2 linked regions of the Canis lupus familiaris genome follow. The protein of the gene in region 2 purifies or fractionates together with the protein of the main gene of each other region. This does not show direct contact. Links are inferred from orthologs where the notes say so. Each region holds a gene or a part of one and is shown on either strand. Other genes may lie near its edges. The genes, in order: REEP4 and RETREG3.

Evidence for each region.
Region 1: the proteins of RETREG3 (region 2) and REEP4 purify together in Homo sapiens (affinity purification with mass spectrometry; 3 studies listed by BioGRID and IntAct, with this or other methods). This does not show direct contact. The link is inferred for Canis lupus familiaris from reciprocal best matches to the Homo sapiens genes RETREG3 and REEP4.

What each region holds. Positions count from the first base shown.
Region 1 is NC_049246.1:35,273,665-35,280,515, reverse strand, and holds REEP4 (receptor expression-enhancing protein 4), read right to left. Parts: upstream 4,433-6,851; 5' UTR 4,076-4,432; coding exon 4,044-4,075; intron 3,248-4,043; coding exon 3,175-3,247; intron 2,816-3,174; coding exon 2,739-2,815; intron 2,648-2,738; coding exon 2,527-2,647; intron 2,111-2,526; coding exon 1,997-2,110; intron 1,596-1,996; coding exon 1,460-1,595; intron 1,297-1,459; coding exon 1,142-1,296; intron 1,054-1,141; coding exon 988-1,053; 3' UTR 521-987; downstream 1-520. UniProt on the Homo sapiens protein: Microtubule-binding protein required to ensure proper cell division and nuclear envelope reassembly by sequestering the endoplasmic reticulum away from chromosomes during mitosis.
Region 2 is NC_049230.1:20,246,764-20,253,130, reverse strand, and holds part of RETREG3 (reticulophagy regulator 3), read right to left. Parts: intron 2,614-6,367; coding exon 2,507-2,613; intron 896-2,506; coding exon 865-895; intron 1-864. UniProt on the Homo sapiens protein: Endoplasmic reticulum (ER)-anchored autophagy regulator which exists in an inactive state under basal conditions but is activated following cellular stress.

The sequences.
Region 1 (6,851 bases), on a different chromosome or scaffold from region 2:
GCCCTCTCGCGGCCATTCCGAAGACATGCAATGCTCCCAAGGCCATCTGGGATGTTTACAGGAACTCAATGCCCCTAGAGCTGCCTCCTAGAGACCCCTGAGGGCCCACGGGGGCAGTTGGTCTCCCCAGGCCTAACTGTTTACAGCTCCAGTTAATCCCCATGAAACTACTGTGCTGCCCAGAGTTCCCTCCACGCCTCTGTTCCCACTACCTTCTGCTTCCCATCAAGGTCCAATGCCATCTCCTCTGCTTATAGTCTCAGACTCTGACCCCTCTCCAGGGTGTCCTCCCTACCACCACCCCTAGTCTCCCATCTGTGTTCTCAGAAGTCTCCAAGAGCTTCCTGTGACAGTACTTGCCACATCACAACTATATGTTAATGGCTACATGCCCCCACCAGGAGACTGGTCCCAAAAGGTCTGTCCTTTTAACCCCCATCCTAGGCCTGGTCTGGCCTGTAGCAGGCTGTTTAGCATTGTGTACTGTGAGGACCAGGAATATAAAACCAGGACAAACAGAACACTTTTATATGTTTATTTACCAAAATGTGCATAAACCTGACCTCATTCACCAACACAAAACACAACCAGGGAACACGCGCACGTGCGCGCGCACACACACACACATATACACACACGGGGCCTTAGAGGAGGCTGTCAAGTACTTTGAAGGACAGGAAGGAATGAACACAGCTGGGTGGACTTTTGGCTTCACTTGCAGAGGTCTGGGAAGGGCTCTGGTCCCACACACCCAAGAGGGTATAAGGATGAGAAAGGCAATAAATAGAATCATGGGCCCAGCCTGCTTTGGTTCATCACAGGTATATCCCTGTGCACCGCCCCAGCCCCTAACCGAGAGCAGGAGCCAGGAGGACACAGCCTGAGCAGCTGGTGTAGGCAGGTCAGATGTGCACCCAGTCGCCCCCTCCAAGCAGTCCCTGGTACCCCATAAGGCAAGACGTAAGACTCGGCCAGGCTCTGCAGATCCTAGCCATTCATGTCTGAAGAAATGGTCTTTTTCCTTGTCCGAACCTTCAGGGAGCGCGAGGTACCCTGAGGGGAGAGAGCAGATACAACGGGAGGAGGTGTAGGCCAAAGTCCCTGGACAGCCCGCCTCCCTCACGCCTTCCTGGCCACTGACCTCCCGCACGGGCGGCTTCCTCTTGACCACACGCAGGCTCTGGCTGCGGTTGAGAGGCTTCTCTCGGGGCCGGGCAGGTGGCTGGGGGACTGCCTCTGTATCCGACCAGCATTCATCTTCGGTGTCGCTGTCCTGCAGCCCCCCTGCCCGGTACCCTGAATAGAGGAGAGAGAGGCCAGGGAGCCAAAGCTGGGCATTTCCACAGTCTGAAGGCCTGGGGCCCAGCCACGCCTTCTTCTAATCCCCAGGGAAGCCACAGCTCAAATGGAAGGAGCATCCCTCTTGGAACAAACAGCTCCAGATCTCTCTCCTACTCACCGATGGGTCGCCTGCGAAGAGGTACTTGGTCCTCCAGGTAGAGGGGATCCTGGTAGGCAGGGGCAGGGGCATCAGGAATAGAGCGCAGGTCCTGCATGGAGAAGCTTCGTAGCCTTCCGGCCAGTGCCCCCTGACTCTGCAAGAGAGGGGGAGCCGATGCATCACCTGGAGGGATGGAGCAGGGGATCCTAGCAGCATCCTCTATTCCCAGGTCTGAACCAGGGCAGCTGTGCAGGGAAATTAAGCACTGACTGGCAGGTCATCACTGGGGCCCTGGCCTCGGAACTGAAAGCAACTTAGTAACCTTCTAGGTCCATGTCTTTGTGCTGCCAACAGGAAATGAAGGCCCAGAGAGCAGGATTTACCGCTCGCGGTCACTGGCCCAGCTCCATCCTCCGGCCAACACCCCACCCATCACCTCCTACCCTGTCCCCTGGCATGGTTTGGTGCTGTCTCCCAGCTCCCTGACAGAGAGCTGGACTCCCCCAGAAGGCACTGGGGGTGGGAGGGCTGCTGGAGGGCTGGGGCCCAGGTCACCTTGGTGGCAGCCTGTACAGCGGCCGAAGCAGCAATGTTGAGGCCCCGCTTCCCAAAGCTGAGCATCGTCTCATAACTGCGCTCCTTGGCCTGCACGATGCAGGTGTCAATCTCCTGTGGAGGGCGGGGAAGGGGGAAGAGTTCAGGTGCACAGTGGGAGTCATCCTTCCTCTGCAGACCCAGAGAAGCCACTGCGTCCTGTGCCTCCCTGTCCACCCCCACCTACAGGGCGCTGGCAACCACACCAAGGGCAGGGCTCCCCACCCACCCATTCCCCCACCTCAGGGGATGACCATGCTCAGCCTTCTCCCACTGTCCCCAAAACAACTGCCAGCTCTGCACATTCACATGTGCTCCCATTTGATTATCGCAAAAGAGGAAAAAGGCTACTTTCTATCAAGGTCCCACAGCTAAGGGCAACAGGACTCAGATTAGAACCCAGATATCATCCAGTATCCTGAACCCCGAGTCCAGGGTCCTTTCGTTCACACCCACCCCTATGTTTCACTCCCTGACTCCCCCCGAAGTACCTTCTCATGACGGGACAAGGACGGGTGGACAAACTTTCGGTAAAGCAGGCTGGCCCCTTTGGTGTAAGGTGAGAGCAGCCACAGCACAAAGGCCATCTTGATCTCATAGTAGAAAGGGAACCTGTCAGAGGACAGGGTGGGCAAGGTCAGCAGGGAGCCCGGCTGAGTGGGCCAGCACCTCCCCACAGCCCATAGGCCCCCTGCATGCATACCAGGAAATAAAGATGTCTGTGAAGGTCTCCACCGCCATGAATAGTGCAAAGACTATCCAGTACATCATCCATCGGACCTGGGGGTGTGGGTGGGGGTGTCAGAGGCCAACAGCTGAGCCTGCAGAGCCAACTCCCCTGTCCTAGGCTGACCCAGAGATTCCAGAGAGCCTGTCCTGCTGCATTCTCCTGGCAACTGGTTGGCCCTAGAGTTGCCTCTGAGAAACTGCCACTCATTTCTGTACCCACCCCCAAGAAGCTTCACCCACACGATTCTGCATGGGCTCCCCAATCGCCTGCCTTCCAACCACACCCACTCTGCTTAGGATATGCCACCTGCTTATGCCCCTGGAGGCAGGGGATGCCAGTTCAGACCCTCCCCACTTTGCCAAGTCCCCCCAGACCTGAATGAAGCCCTCCTGCCCACAGCCACACTCACATATTCACGAATGTTCTTGGTCTTCACAGCCTTGTAGGAAGCATAAGCTGGGTATAGCATCCCAAACACCAGCCTAGAAGGGCAGCCCATAAAACAGAGGGGGAATATGAGCAGCATCCTGTCCTCCTCGCCCCACCAGGTGGCCACCTCCCTCACAGATGTGAAGTGGCAAGGGCCTACCTGTTCTTCCCGCTTGGCTTGCACAATGTGTGCCTGAGTCAGTGCCCTGGAGGCCACCTCCCCACCCTGCTGTTTACAAACACCCCAAGCCTGCCCGGGCCTGCATCAGTGGCCTATGGGTGCATGATCGAGCGGAACACACACAGCCGCACACAGGTGGGTGGGAGGCAGGCTGCTGAGCTGGTGAGAGCACCAGGCTGTCTGCTCCTGTGGACATGCCATCAGGTCCACGGCCACCAGACCTGGCACTGCCAGGTTGCAGATAGGAATACTGGAGCCAGATGGAGTACTAAAAGGTGAGAAGAGGCCAGAATGGGGAGGCTGAGGCCAGGATGGTGAGTCAGGTGACTGCTCAGAAGGGAAGCAGGCACCTGGAACATCCGCCCACGACGTGCCACATCTTGTGTTTGCTAAGGGACTGCAGGTCGGCCTGAAGTCCTCGGCCCCACACACCTGTCTGCGGTGTGTGTGACTGCGGGAGGGGTGGCCACGGACCAAGGAGGCTTGAGGGCTGGAGGGCAAGCCAGGGTACCCCATGGCACGTGCAGGCCCGCAGGTCCGTTAACCCTCACGGTGAGTGTTGAGGGAGCCCCACAGGAGGCCCCTTTGCCATCAGATGTCCCCCTGTTCCAGATCAGGAGCGCTGTGGCTCCTGGGGATAGAAGGTGTAGGAAGGCACCCGTACTCACACCACCAGGCGACAGATCATCCAGGACACCATCCTGCAGCCTCGGGGACGAAGGGGGAGGGGATCCCCCAAGAAGAGGAGCAGAGGGACGCTCGGGCGGGGCTGGGACGGGGGCTCGGCGGAAGCGCGGGAACCAGAGGGGCGCTCGGGCCGCCCCTGAGTCTGCGGTGCGCGGAGCCGGAGGAGTGGGGCGCCCGGTGCCGAGGCTCGGAGGCCGGGCTCGGGGGCACCGACTCGGGAGCCCGGGGCGGGCGCGTCCTCCCTCGCCGCCGCGCTCCTGGGCGGATGCCGCTGCAGGAACCAGGCGTCGGGCTCCCGCCGCGCCGCTGGGCGGGTCCGGCCTCCGCTCGCCCCGGTCCCCGCGGTCTCGCGGCGCCCGGCCACCGGCACCGGCCTCGGGGCGGAGTTTGCAACTCACTTGAAAGTTGCACGGAACTGCGCGCTGCCCAACCCCTGGGCTCCGGCGCCGGGCGCAGGCGCAGTGCGGCCCCGGGGGGGCGGGGCGGGGGCGAGGACGCCGGGGGCCCGCCCCTTAAAGGGCGACCCGCCTCCCCGCCGTGCGCGGGGGCCCGCGGGTCCAGGAGCCCGCCCGCATTGGCAAGATCAAGGGATGGGAAACCGCAACAAAAAAGATGCAGAGGAGGAAACTTGGACTCCACAATTTTCGCGGCTCTTCCCTGGCTTCCCCCTTTTGCCTCATCTTTCCCTTCTGTAAAATGGGAAAAAGTCCTGGGCCGGGCGCAGGATCCCGCTTCCAGGCTCACGCACAAGGGGAGGGAGGCTTGGCCGAGCGCCGGCAGATCCAGGTCCCGCAGCTCCGGGGCACGAGATGCATAAGCGCCTCCGTGACGCTGAGATGACCCAGAAAGAAAGCGGGAGGAAGTGGGAGAGGGGAGCTGTCGTCACATGCGTGGCTCATCATCCCTTTGAGACTCACCCCGAAGAGTGGGCTTCAGGAGTTGACTTCTCTCAGGGATACCTCTCCAGAGGCACATACCTGGGCGGACTGACCACGAGACATTCTGGACAGAGAGCCCCCAGCCCCCACCCCCCCACCCATGCCTTCTTCACCAGACCTTTGAAATTCCACCTATTTCTGTGAGGACAGAACACAAATGTCCCCGAGAGCTGAATCATATCAACAATTGCCACTTAGTAGCTAATTTTTGTGTGCAAGGTCTTGACCTTTACAAAGATTGCACCCTCTCCCCCCCCCCTTTTTTTTTCACCATTGATGAAAAGTAACATCATCTAGTGGCATTTGTTGCTGGATGATGGGTGAATGAAGACAGAATGATCAGTCTTCTGAACACAGCCCTGGAAGGCCAGAGGGAACGGAGAAGCTCCTCCAGGGGCAGGTGTATATGGGGAAGAAAGTGGGAGGCTCAAAGGAGAAGGCAGGCTTGGTTGCTTCCAGAACTTTGTGTGTAGGATTGCATGCTTTGTATCTCTTCTGCACAGTGCCCCATTCCTCTGGCTGACAATGGGGACTGTGCCCTTCACCCTGCGCAGCCTCCCCCCTGCTTCACAGGGCTGGCAGCAGAGTTACCTAGAACCATGGGGATGGGAAACTTGAACAGTTATTACTTTTTATTAGAGCCATAGTTAATTCCCATCACCTATTGAGAGGATGGAATAAATAATGATGGGGGCCAGGGAAAGGAGGCTTCCTGGGAATAAATAAACACAAGGTAATTATGTAGTCTTAATTACTATCATCCATTTTATTGGTGATGTGGGGTGTGAGAGCTAGCAGTGAAACTGACCCACAGGAGAAACTTCCCTGAGGCCTCCCTCTTTCCCATCTAACCACCCCCTCACCCTGGGCCTCGCTCCTACCCTATGTTGGAAGAACAAGAAACTCCAAGAGCCAGAGTCCCACCCTCCATCTCTAGCCACAGACGTTATGAAAATCTGTGCCCAGAAAAAAGGATGTGGTAACTCCATAGGGGGCCAGCTCAGGAGGAGCTGGGGGCTGCGGTAGAGGGAAGAGCACCCGTTCCTCTGGAGATAAGGGTGCCTGGGCTGTGTGCATGTGCTCCCTTTGGTCCCTGCTGCAGAACCACGTCCTCCCTGGCTGCCTTCCAGAGTCACCTGACCTGACCTCAGCATCTACCCTCACTTGCTGGTGAAGAGCTCTCTTGTGCCCACTTTAAGACCTCTCTCCCCAAAAGACCACCCTGGAGGGGAAAGTCTCTCACATAGAGACTCCTGGTCCTCATAACGGCACTAGGAAATCTAATGGACATCAGAGGTGTGCTCCTGGGAGCAGGGCCCAGCATGGAGGGGTGTGCGGCTGGGAGCTGAGGGGTGTCATCCTCAGCTCTGCAGAGTGAGTGGACTCTGTCTCTCATGGCCTTTGGTCATGAGATGTTGACATAGTTACCCAGCTACACTGGATTGCTAAGCAACTCTCTGGACACACAGATGACCCCCAGGGCAGGTGACCAGGCAGGCATACAGCAGGCCTCATTCCCCGTGGCATTCAAGAGGAGGAGTGTCTCCCACCCCTGGAAAGAGTCCTAGGGGGAGTGACAGTCAGAATGATGTTTATCTTTCTACCGGGCAACAGAGTGCCAATGTGTCTGGGAGGCTCAACCCACTTCCCCTGGCAACTTCTCCCTGGCACAGCGTGAAGGGCCATTCCCCATTTGAGAAAGCAGAGCAGGAATTCCCAGGATAGTGTGGCTGGGGGACCTGTGGGGCACCTGCTAAGCCAAGAGCATATGGATATGGTTTCAAGAGGTGGAACCCCAGACATGGCACCTGTGAGATTCACCATTGTGAGGTTCGTCCAGGGGCAGGTTTG
Region 2 (6,367 bases):
TTGGCAGCCAATGCTTCTAGGTTTCAACTGGAGCTTGGGAGTGGCTAGTTCTAGGTGCTTTGGAGGTGAAGTGGGACTTTTTTCTTGTCTCACCAGGTTGAAACTTGAATTTAGGGACTAGGAGGGCACATTTGTTCTGACAACTCCACCCTATGAGCAAGCAGTCCAATCCACGTGTATAAACCTGCCACTAGCTCCAAGGCACTTTGTGCTTAGAAACATCTTCCCTGCACTCGGACCATTGCAATTCACTGTGATTGCAATTCAGGGATAAAAGTAAAACACAATCTGACACTGCTGCTGCTGAGGGGGAGGCAATGGTAGATGTGTCCCTCAGAAAATAAATATAGCAAAAGTAAAATAAACCATAGCAGAGGAAATTCCTTGGATCAAACATATGGGATGAATGAACTGAGAAATGAAAGCAAGAGCTGTAAGACACAAGAGGAATCTTTGGCTTGCTGATGCCAGGAACCAATGTGTTTTCTGACCAGAAACTTTTTAAAAAGCTAGAGGTCACAGAAAACACTAAATGATCTGGAATAAAAGTCAGGAAACAAATGAAATAAGCTGCCTCTAAGTTTTTACAGTAGAGCTAAAAAATGCAGCTAACTCCTTGGCATATCAGGTTACAGGGCACTATAATGCTCCTTTTCAGAAACTTTTCTTGTTAATAGCAGAGGACACTAGCAATCTCAACTTGCTACCTGAACTTTAGGATTTGTTAAGATGATTATTCGGAACAGACTAGGTTCTCAGCTCATACTCTGTATCCATAACATGGAGTTAACAACATGTAACCAGAATATTACAACAAGAGAATCAATCAGAGCAACAAAAAGGGATTTAATTAGTGTTCCATACCTCTCATTGTCTAATGCGTCGGGTCTTGGCACTACAATATTAAAACAAACACCAGCATTAGTTGGTAGGGCAAACTAAACATAAAAATGTTAGGCTGTTGGTCTGACAGCTCGAGTTTTAATAGGTTTGGGGAAAAGAAAATAGTAATAGCCAATAAAAAGGAGACACCAGGTTATACTGACAGAGTTAGGGGAGTGCAGACATGGGGAGGATGGCTGATGCCTGCTCATTTCTCTGGTGGGCGGGTGAGGGGATCCAAATGGAACATCAGGGTCCCTTCTACTTACTACAACTGAGAGCCAAGGTGCACAAGAAAAATGATCCACCCTACCCCTCAAGGGTGTCTTGGCTGCTCACATACATCAATGTGCACCAGGTTACTGAGGCATGTTAGAACTACTCCAAATCCAGAAATCTGCCTTTTCTCTTTAAAAAGAGATGCATTAACTACAATGAATGATGTCATCTTTTGACATTCACCAGCCATAAGACAGGTGATGAACTACATGATTCCTTAAAGTCTTTGCAAAATAGGATGGGAATGTATTTAAAAGCTATATACTCTCATGTAAATATCCTGCCAACACTTCAATGGCGTTTATCCCTTATTCTTCTAATTCCCTACTTATCAGTCTTAATGTATCTTTCTTCTTCCCAGCTCTCCAAGCCACCCATTGTTTGTTTCCATGAATACCTCTCTATTTCTCACACAGATACAGTCATAGTTTCCTATCAAGTCTCCCTCTTTCCCTTTTCTTTCCATGTGATCCTGTAAAATGCTATCAATCTTCTGTATCACCTCACAATATAACTCTAAAAAAGAAATGCTCAATGATCATTCACTACCTATAGGATTAAGCCTAAACTTCTAGGCCTAACTTGAAGGCCTTGTAAAATCTAATCCCAACATATTATCAGTTTTATTTCCTTTTAATGACCTCTTCATTCTGGTGAAAGTGACTAATTCCTTGTTCTCAGGAGATGCTTTGCTGCTTCTGGTTTCTCAGACTAATCGAACTACTGGTGCCACTAGAAACACCACTTCTCTCTTCACTTGTTCAAGTCACTTGCTTCATTCAAGGCCTGAACCAGGGCCAAAATACATGACAAACATACCAATTACATACTACACAGTGACATCTCTGGTACTGTTCTGTAGCTATCATTTCACTGGTCTTTTGTTTGTGCCTATATAATCTTTGAGAAAAGGAAACGTATCTTACTTTATATGAATCACAATGCTTAGCTTAGTGTTTTTTGCAAATAAGCAATTTAAAAGAAATTCCTGAGAGGCAAATTGATACTGCCTCAGTAAAGATGCAGTATCCAATGATGTAGATATGTCTATCTATTTTTTTTAACTTGAAGACTATTTATTCCTCTGGCCAATTATAAGGGCAAGAATATCTCAGGTGGTGGATACAGATTTCTTGAGCTTAGTAACAATGGGAAAGGTGGAATGCAGCTGTAAGGAACTACCGATGGAGCACCAGCCCTTCAAGTGTCTCCTAAAACAAGTAATTCACACATCAAAAGATATTCCCAGTTCTATACACTCCCTCATAAACCCCCAAAACTAAAGGTAAAAATTAAAGGAAAGACCATTTCCAGTTCAGACTGTTCTAAATGCTATCAAACTCACCTTTTATTTCAGGCCAGATTTTGTTCTTCCATTGGTCTATACATACAATGATCATAGAGCTGAATGCAAGTAAAAACACAAGACGAAGGGATGTCAGTGCAAAGAACCTACAGAGAAGAAAAAACAGAAGATTATTATTCAATTAAGCTAATTTCGGAAAGGACCATCTGTATACTTCAGGCTTTAGTAAACATACTTAAGTCCTAGTTACGTACCTTAAGAAAATCACTTAAACTTTCTGAACATTAGGGGATCCCCGGGTGGCTCAGCGGTTTAGCGCCTGCCTTCAGCCCAGGGCGTCATCCTGGAGACCAGGGATTGAGTCCCACATCGAGCTCCCAGCATGGAGCCTGCTTCTCCCTCTACCTGTGTCTCTGCCTCTCTCTCTCTCTGTGTCTCTCATGAATAAATAAATAAAATCTTAAAAAAAAAAAAAAAAGCTTTCTGAACCTCAGCTATTGTATTTATGGGGAAGAGATAATTTGCTTCTGTAAAGGCAGAGGACTAAATCAAATAACTTCTTAAAGTCTTTCAAGTCTGCAATTCTATTAATTTCAGGGAGAAATTCATCCCTGATAACTTATTATAATGAAAACAAACACCCTTCTACCAAATTAGACCCCACTGTAGGGCAACAAACTGATAAGAGATGTGTTACAAAGCATGTAATTCAATTAGGTATCTTTTTACAGATGGAGGAACTCAGGTCTAAAACAGTAAAATGATTTGATTAAGGTCAACAGAAAGTTAGCACTGAAGCAACATTCTAAATTAAATTAATTAGAATTTAATTAATTCTAGTTAATTAGAATTTAATTAATTCTAGTTAATTAGAATTTAATTAATTCTAGTTAATTAGAATTAATAGCGGCCCAGTGGTTTAGCGCCTGCCTTCAGCCCAGGGCGTGATCCTGGAGTCCCAGGATCGAGTCCCACACGTTGGTCTCCCTGCGTGGAGCCTGCTTCTCTCTGCCTGTGTCTCTTCCTCTCTCTCTCTCTCTCTCTCTCTCTCTCTCTCTCTCTGTCTCTCATGAATAAATAAATAAAATCTTTTTTAAAAAATAAATAAATAATAAAAGCCAGTTCTTAAGAATTAACACCAATACTTCTTAAACATTTCCAAAAAATTGAAGAGGGAACATTTCTGATTGATTTTATGAGGCCAGCATTACTCTGATATCAAAGCCAGACAAAGACAATACAAGAAAACTAAAGCCCTATATCTCCCTCTCCCTGTCGCTCCCCCTGCTTGTGCTCTTCTGCACTCTCTCTCCCGTCAAATGAATAAGTAAAAATGTAATAAATAAAATAAATCTTTCACAAAATGTGGGGGGAAAAAGATAATCAAAAAACAAGTTCTATGAGTCTTTGTACTACACCAGCCTTTCAGTATCTTTAGGACAGTGCTGGCCCACAAGCTAATTCTGTCAGTCTGTGAGGAAGCCAAGTAGAAAATTTAGAGTAAACATTTAAAAAAAAAATTATAGCAATTTGACCAAGTAATCTTGAATCACAGAACATATTTGGGTTTATATTTTCTGTCTTTTAAACTTAATTTTTCAGGCACCCCGGGTGGCTCAGCGGTTCAGCGCCGCCTTCAGCCTGGGGCGTGATCCTGGAGTCCCGGGATCGAGTCCCACATCAGGCTCCTTGCATGGAGCCTGCTTCTCCCTCGCCTGTGTCTCTGCCTCTCTGTCTCTCGTGAATAAATAAATAAAATCTTAAATAAATAAATAAACTTAATTTTTCTAGTAACTTAATTTAGTAACTTTCTAGTAACTTAATTTTTCTAGTAACTCATTTATATTGCATTTTACAAAAGTATTGATTTGCAACAGATCAGGGACACCACTGGCCCTGACCATAGATGGTTCAGCAGGGACTGTAGTAGGCATAGCTTTTCAAGTCAGACTGGCTTGAGTCTGATTCTCTGAACACTCACTTAGTCATATGACTTTGAATAAATTAGCTTAACCTCTTTAAAGACTGTTTCTTCGTTTTGTTTTGTTTTTTTAAGATTTTATATTTATTCCTGAGAGACACAGAAAGAGGGGCAGAGACACAGGCAGAGGTAAAAGCAGGCTCCCCGCAGAGAGCCTGATGTGGGACTCCCATCTCAGGACCCCGGGACCAGGCCCTGAGCCAAAGGCAGACACTCAATTGCCAAGCCACCTAGGCGTTCGTGTTCCAGTTTCTTTGTATGTAGTGGTAACAATGACAGAATTTGGAGGATTGTTTGTAGGTTTTAGAAACAACATACTTAATTCCCTGTAAAAATATCATACTTGGGGCGCCTGGGTGGTTCAGTCCATTAAGTATCTGCCTTTCGCTCAGGTTGTGACCCCAGGGTTCTGGGATCAGCCCCACATTGGGCTTCCTGCTCAGCAGGGAGCCTTCTTCTCCCTCTCCCCGCTGCTCATGCTCTCTCATTATCTCTCTCTCTCATAAATAAGTAAATACATAAATAAATAAAAATTTTAATAGTCATACTTCATCTTGCTTAAAAAGACAAGAAAATATAAGCCTAAGACGTAGTTCTATTCAATTTTACAATGTAGAAGTGTTACTAGCTATTATCACAGCAAATGGATCAAACAAGGGTAAGGTTGGTTTGGTTACAAATGACCTCTTGCTTTCTCAGCTCACCACACTACCTAATGACTTGACATAACCACAGAACAATAGAGTATAATCTTTATATGTAAATGGAAAAAAAAAGCTTTATCTATGTGTACATATGAATACATCTACATATTCATGGATTGGCAGAGGAACTTTTTATTTCTAGATATTTTTGTACTGGTTTTCAATAAACATGAGTCCAGGGGGGGACCCCTGGGTGGCTCAGCGGTTTGGCGCCTGCCTTTGGCTCAGGGCATGATCCTGGGGTCCCGGGATCGAGTCCCACGTCGGGCTCCTGGCATGGAGCCTGCTTCTCTCTCCTCCTGTGTCTCTGCGCCTCTCTCTCTCTCTCTCATAAGTAAATAAATAATCTTAAAAAAATTGTTTAAAAAAAAACATGAGTCCATGTTATGTAATTTTAAAAACTACACAAAGAGTGAAGTTCCAGTCACCAGTGATAACCCTATTCCAATTCCCCTCCACCACCATTTAAAGGACACTGTAATTATACATGAGATTAAAGAATGAAAGCAGCTTAACAAAAATAAGCCTCTAGAGCTGCCTAGTCATTAACCTTTTCTCCAAGGCCAACTCATCAACCCAACTAACAAGCAAATTTAACAAGGCCAAGGATAAGGGCTCTAGAGCTTTTTGCTCCTCAGTGCCGCTACTTCTCATTCCTGGCAGCAGGAGGATGTGGCAGGGCCACCGTTTTCTCCAGAGTGCTTGAAAGGGCTCCCTGCGGAGGCAATCCAGACTGTCTGCAATCTCTACTTCCCAGATCATAATTACTAACAAATATAAAGTGGGGTAGGGAGAGGATATTAAGCCCTTCTAAGAAAGGCTGATCTTCCAAAAATGATGGCGGTAAAAATACTTTATCCAAGACCTGAACTATTCTAGTAGTCTGTTATAGTTCCCACCTATGTTTCAACCCAATCCAACAAACATTTATTGAGTGCTCATTTTATGTAGAGGCTTTGAGGTATGCAGCCCAGTTATAGCAGTTACAGAAAAGAGAAAGACATGGACCTTACTTTCAAGTGTATTTATGTGTCTATCTGTGTTTGCAATATAACATGACAAGCTAACGATAACAAAGAAGAGGACATCTAAACTGGAATTTAAGAGATAAGTAAGAATGGGGTGCCTGGCTGGCTCAGTCACTGGAGTATGCAACTCTTGATCTCGGGTTGTGGGTCTGAGTCCCACACTGGGTGTGGAGATAACTGAAAAAAT